Linked DNA regions of Callithrix jacchus. The protein of the gene in region 1 purifies or fractionates together with the protein of each later gene. This does not show direct contact. Links are inferred from orthologs where the notes say so. Each region holds a gene or a part of one and is shown in the gene's direction. Other genes may lie near its edges.

What was found.
Region 2: the proteins of LRWD1 (region 1) and ORC5 purify together in Homo sapiens (affinity purification with mass spectrometry; 4 studies listed by BioGRID and IntAct, with this or other methods). This does not show direct contact. The link is inferred for Callithrix jacchus from reciprocal best matches to the Homo sapiens genes LRWD1 and ORC5.

The regions. Positions count from the first base shown.
Region 1 is NC_133503.1:11,378,569-11,381,368, reverse strand, and holds the end of LRWD1 (leucine-rich repeat and WD repeat-containing protein 1), read left to right. Parts: intron 1-1,249; coding exon 1,250-1,341; intron 1,342-1,483; coding exon 1,484-1,639; intron 1,640-1,730; coding exon 1,731-1,843; intron 1,844-1,939; coding exon 1,940-2,080; 3' UTR 2,081-2,189; downstream 2,190-2,800. Other genes in the region: POLR2J (DNA-directed RNA polymerase II subunit RPB11-a), read right to left, coding at 2,622-2,657. UniProt on the Homo sapiens protein: Required for G1/S transition. Recruits and stabilizes the origin recognition complex (ORC) onto chromatin during G1 to establish pre-replication complex (preRC) and to heterochromatic sites in post-replicated cells.
Region 2 is NC_133512.1:74,525,568-74,529,387, reverse strand, and holds part of ORC5 (origin recognition complex subunit 5), read left to right. Parts: intron 1-1,027; coding exon 1,028-1,228; intron 1,229-3,820. UniProt on the Homo sapiens protein: Component of the origin recognition complex (ORC) that binds origins of replication. DNA-binding is ATP-dependent. The specific DNA sequences that define origins of replication have not been identified yet.

The DNA.
Region 1 (2,800 bases):
GACTCGGCCCCCTTCTGCCACTCAGTGTGACGGTCCTCTGTGCTAGTGTAATGCCCTCATCTGTAAAGGGGTCTGTCTGATGGCTAGCGGAGGGCAGGCGGGCAGGCTTTGGAATGCCATGTTGAGACTTTGTGGCTCACTGTCCCGCCTGGAGAGCCTCCAGGATAGGGCTGGGCATCGGGTCCCTGTCCTCTTGGGGCCACCAGCCTCCAGACGCTAAGCAAAGGCGGCCAATCAAAACCCTGCCGTGTGATGCCAACTCTGAAGGACAGGGGAAAAAAGTAATGGACACCAGCATGGGGGCCTCAGGGGACTCTGCTGAGGGGACCAGCAGCGGATGAATAGGTTCTGGGGCTCACGCCTTCCTCTCTGGGAGCCTGGCGAGGCACTCAGCAGGTGGAGGGAGGAAACGCTATGTGCAAAGGTCAGTGGTGGGGGAGCCGGCTTGCCCTGTGGCCACAGCTGGGTGGACAGAGCCCAGAGCGAGGTGGCAAGGATGCCTAGGCAGTGCATGCTGGGCTTGGGGCTTCCTCAGCCACAGTGAGATTTGGATTTTTATTTTTTGAGACAGTCTCTGTTGTCCAGGCTGGAGTTCAGTGACAATCTCAGCTCACTGCAACCTCTGCCTCCAGGGTTCAAGTGATTCTCCTGCCTCAGCCTCTCGAGTAGCTGGGATTACAGGCACCTGCCAGTAAGCTCAGCTAATTTTTGTATTTTTAGTGGAGACGGGGTTTTGCTGTGTTGGCCATGCTGGTCTCAAACTCTACCTGGTGATCCGCCTGCCTTGGCCTCCCAAAGTGCTGGGTTACAGGCCTGAGCCACTGCACCCGTCCTCCCCAGTGTCTTTAGAGTCAGAGCAGATGCCCCCGACAGTCCCCTGGGCTATGGCCTGGAAACACCTGGCCTATTTGGCTGCCAGGACGGCCAGGCCCCTGCTCATCTCACTCTTGGTCCCAGAGGCACTGGCTCGCTCCAGAGCCTTTTCTGACCACCTCGCCTAGCCCTGTCCTGAAAGAAGCACCCTTCAAGCCTCTGGGTCACTACTGTGACTTGGGACACTCAGGTGCTGGCTCCCCCTCCCAGGGCAAACTGAACCATCCTGGAGCCAAGAATGTCTCTTTAGTAGCAACTTGTGTGCGGCCTTCATGCAGGTCGGGGCCCCCAGCAGGTGCCCTGTAGATGCCCGGGTGAGTGGGCAGCTCTCTGTATCTGCAAGGAATGGCTGACCAGTGTCTCCTGCTGTCCACAGAGTGTGTGAAGTAGAATTCATTTTCTCCGAGGGCTCTGAGGCTTCTGGACGGAGAGTGGATGGGCTAGCATTTGTGAATGAGGACGTCGTGGGTGAGTGAGCCCGGCTCAGGGACAGCCTGGCCTCTGGGCATGCAGATGGGTCGCTTGTCTCTGGCTGGGCTTCTGAGGGTCTCCAGAGGGAGCAGGTATCCGGGAGGGGCCGCCCTGCACAGTTCTCAATTCTCCCCCACAGCCTCCAAGGGCAGCGGCCTGGGCACCATCTGCCTGTGGAGCTGGAGGCAGACATGGGGTGGCCGGGGCAGCCAGTCCACGGTGGCAGTGGTAGTCCTGGCGCAGCTACAGTGGTCGCCCACCGAGTTGGCCTACTTCTCGCTCAGCACCTGTCCTGGTGAGCCTGCCCTCTGCCCGTGTGCCTACCCCATCCCCGCAGGGCCTCTGGGAGCTCTGCCCCCACTCAGGCTCCACCTCTGTTCTGACAGATAAGGGGATCGTGCTCTGCGGGGATGAAGAGGGCAACGTGTGGCTCTACGATGTCAGCGACATCCTGAAACAGCCGCCCCCACTGCCGGCAGCCCCACAGGCCCCCACACAGGTACCTCCCGGCTCATTCTGCCTGGGCTCGGGCTGCAAGGGGTCAGGGGCCCTGCCTTTGGGCAGCAGGATCCCAGCCCTCCTCTCTCCCCACCAGATCCTGAAGTGGCCCCAGCCCTGGGCCCTTGGCCAGGCAGTGACCAAGACCATGGTGAACACGGTGGTGGCCAATGCCACCTTCACCTACCTCACCGCCCTGACAGACTCCAACATCGTAGCCATCTGGGGGAGGCTGTAGCCTCACGCGTCGCAAAGGACCAGGGACACAGCTAACTTATTCAGCTCTGGGGTGATAGGGGTAGGGGGGTGTCCCTATCAGTATTTTTATTAAACTCTGTGGTCGAGAAGCCTGTGGAAAGGTGTTCCTACTTTGACTGACAGGCTGGCCCGGCAGCTGAGGCTTCTAGAGCAGAGACTCATGGGAGCTCATGGGCTTGCACACTTCCCCCAGCTCAGCACTGCCTCCCTGGCAGCTCCTGAGCTTTGGTCCAGAATGAGTTTGTCCCTACCAACCGGAGGCCCCTGAAACACGTCATCTGCCTGCATCAAGCCTGACAATCTGTGCCTGTGAAGCTGCTGCTGCTGAAGTCCACATCCAGGTCTTGTCCTGCCATACTTTACTTTATTAGGAATATAACAGAGGATCTGTACAGGACACGCTGGTGTTGGGGTGAGGGGGCATTGCAAGGTGGGCCATGGCTGAGACTGGCCGTTCTCGGTGGAGGGTCAGGCGCAGGTAGGAGCTGGGCTCACAGGCTGAGCAGAGCCCCTTGCGGCCACTATTCAATTCCTTCCTGCTTGTCTTTGATGGCCACCTGGGAGAGAGGAAGAAGGCGGAGACTGAGCTGGAACAGCTGGGGCAAGGAGGTTGGAAACACAAGCCCAGCATCCCAGGACCAGGGCCTTCCTGGAGGGCAACCATGGGCCACACTCCCCAGGACAGTGGGGCAGCCAACGG
Region 2 (3,820 bases), on another chromosome or scaffold:
GTAGCTGGGACTATAGATGTGCTCCACCAGGCCTGTCTAATTGTTTTTATATTTTTAGAGACAGAGTCTCACTATGTTTCCCTGGCTGATCTTTAACTCCTAGGGTCAAATGATCCTCCCACCTTGGCCTCCTAAAGCACTGCGATTACAGCCATGAGCCATATGCATAGCCAAGAGCTAGTTCTTAACAGTCCTCATAAAAGGATTACTGTGGTTTCAAACTCTTAAAATTCTTTTTTTTTGACTTAGGTTTATTCAAGGATATTAAAGTTATAAATGTAAAATTTCTACTAAGAATTTTAACATTCAAATATATTTGGATTTTCTTCTTCTTCTTTTTTTTTTTTTTTTTTGGTAGAGACAGGGTCTCACTATATTACCCAGGCTGGTCTTGAACTCCTGACCTCAAAGCCTTAGAATTACAAATGTGAGCCACTATGCCTGGCTGATTTCTATATAAGAATTCTTTATAGGAAAATACCAGTTTGCTTTGAATTTCTATAAGGAAGAAATGGCAAACTGAAAGAAATAATTGAAGTGGGTTTAATGAAGGGAGTATTTTTAAAAGGTTGAGGAAATTTTATGGGAATCAGTAAGGGATGATGGTACACCAGGGCTTTCACCACCTCCAGGCCTGAAGGGATCATAGAAGGGCTGTTACTGGAACCCAGCAAGAGGTATAGCCTTAAAAGAGGGGCTGTCCAACTTGATCTTTGGTAGAAGAGTATCCACTGCCAAGCTAGGGCCACTTAGGGGTCATGGTGGGAGTCAAGGAAATCAATATCCAAGCTTCTCTCCTACCATTTTCCCTTAGTCTTCTGCTGGTTCTTTTCCACTGGCTTCTCCATCCAGAGCCAGTAAATAAGAGAGTCTAGGTAATATAATCTGTAGCCATCAGGCTCTTGGGGCATGGGATGGGTTTGGTGGGACATAGACTTAGAAAGACAAATGGAGAATATCCAGCAGACCCATTACCGGGTCTGTGTGTTTTCTTCTTTACTTATATTGTTTTGGTTCTCATTTTCAGCTCCCACATGTCTTTGTGAATTGTGTTGAATGCTTTACCTTAAGGCTGCTTTTGGAACAAATTTTAAACAAATTGAATAATCTTAGTTCTTCAGAGGATGGATGTTCTTCCGAAATAACCTGTGAAACATTTAATGACTTTGTTCGCTTGTTTAAACAAGTAACCAAAGCTGAAAATCTCAAGGATCAGACCGTATATATTGTAAGTAATTTCATTTGATTAATTCATCTCTTATATGAAGATAATCATTTATTAGATCAGTTTTCATATATTTGAGTCCCATTATGCACAGTACTCTGTGCAAGGCACTTTTGGTGTGCAGAAATGTGTTAAACATATTCCTTGTCCAAGGGAAGCCTCATTTAATAGAAAAGGTATGACACATACAAATGACTACATGCAGAATGTGATAAGTGATTGTCACCAGATGCAAAGTATTAACTGTGTGTTTCCAGTATAACTTCATGAGGTATTAACATTTGAGGTAGACCTAAATGAATCCAAGTATTCTAGGAAGAAATTGAAGTAGAGGAATTTCAGATAGAATTATATAAGTAAGGTCATGAAGGTGAGAATGGAGGCCAGAGAGTGCCAAATAGTCTAGTTATAGTGGGTTATAAAGTATGAAGAGAGAAAAAGAAGACTGGAAGGTAGATTGAGGCAAATCATAGAAGGTATAGAAAACTATACTGAAGTACTTTATTCAATTTCTTAGGGAGTGAAAGAAGGTAGTAAAGAGTTTAGAGCAACAAATATGCCTGATTATTCTGAAGACATGTTAAAATGATCGTCTTTGGAATTAGATAAGAACTGCCCGAGAATGGATGATTTATAAAGGAAAAAAGTTAATTGACCTACAGTTCAGAATGACTGGAGAGGCCTCAGGAAACTTACAATCATGGCAGAAGGCAAAGGGGAGGCAAAGCACCTGCTTCACAAAGCAGGAGGAAGGAAAAGCTCCTTAGAAAATCATCAGATCTAATGAGAACTCACTATCACAAGAACAGCATGGGGGAACTGCCCCATGATACATTAACCTCCACTTGGTCTCTTCCTTGACAAGTGGGAATTATGGGGATTATGGAGATTGTGGAAATTACAATTTAAGATGAGATTTGAATTGGGACACAAAGCCTAACCACGTAATTCCACCCTTGTCCCTCCCAAATCTCATGCCCGTTTCACATTTCAAAACCCATCATGCTTTTTCGGTAGTCCGCCAGTCTTAACTTATTCCAGCATTAGCCCAAAAGTCCAATTCCAGAGTCTTAATCTGAGGTAAGGCAAGTCCCTTCCACCTATGAGCCTGTAACATCAAAAGCAAATTACTTAATTCCTTGATAATATGGGGATATAGGCAATGGGTAAATTCAGCCTTTTCAAATGGGAGAAATTGACCAAAACAGAGGGGCTGTAGGCCCCATGAAAGTCTGAAATCCAGTAGGGCAGCCATTAAACTTCAAAGTTCCAAAATGATCTCTTTTAACTCTATGCCTCTCATCCAGGGCATGCCGATGCAAGAGTGGGTTCCTATGGCCTCGTGCAGCTCCATCCCTGTGGTTTTGCAGGGTACAGTACCCTCCTCACAGGCTCAGGTTGAATACCTCTGGTTTTTCCATGCATACCGTACAAGCTGTTGGATCTACCATTCTGGGATCTGGAGGATGGTGGCCCTCTTCTCATAGCTCCACTAGGCAATATCCCAGTGGGGAACCCTGTGTAGGGGGTCCAACCCCACTTTTCCCTTCTGCACTGCCCTAGCAGAAGTTCTCCATGAGGGCCCTGCCCCTACAGCCAACTTTTGCCTGGACATCCAGGCGTTTCCATACATCCTCTCAAATGTAGGCATAGGTTCCCAAACATTAGTTGATTTCTATGCTCCTGCAGGACCACCACATGTAAGCCACCAAGGCTTAGGGCTTGCACCCTTTGAAGCAACAGCCTGAGCTATACAATGGCCCCTTTTATCCATGAGTGGGGATGTAGGACACCAAGTTCTGAGACTGCGCAAAGCACCTAGGCCCTGGCCTATGAAACCATTTTTTCCTCCTAGGCCTCTGGGCCTGTGATGGGGTGGGCTGCCTTATGAGGATCTCTACATACCTTGGAGACATTTTCCCTATTTTCTTGGCTGTTAATATTTGGCGGCTCCTCGTTACTTATGCATATTTCTGCAGCTGGCTTGAATTTCTCCCCAGAAAATGGGTTTTTCTTTTCTAACTCATGGTCCGACCACAAATTTTCTAAAGTTTTCTGCTCTGCTTCACTTTAAAATATGTTACAGTTTCAGATAATCTCTTTGTGAATGCGTATGACTGAATGCTCTCAGAATCAGCCAGATCACCTCTTGAATGCTTTGCTGCTTAGAAATTTCTTCCACTAGATACCCTAAATCATCTTTTTCAAGTTCAAAGTTTCACAGATCAATAGGGCAGAGGCAAAATGCCACCCTTCTCTTTGCTAAAGCATACCAAGAGTCACTTGATTCCCTGTTCCCAAGAAGTTTCTCATCTCCATCTGAGACCACCTCAGGCAGGACTTCATTGTCCATATCACTGTCAGCATTTTGGTCATGGTCATTCAACAAGTCTCTGGGAAGTTCCAAACTTCCCCATGTCTTCCTGTCTTCTGAGCCCTCCAAACTCTTCCAACCTCTGCCTGTTACCCAGTTCCAAAGTCACTTTCACATTTTCCACTCTTTATAGCAGTACCCAACTACCTTGGTACCAATTTACTGTATTAGCCCATTTTCATACTGCTATAAAGAACTTGCCAAAACTGGGTAATTTATAA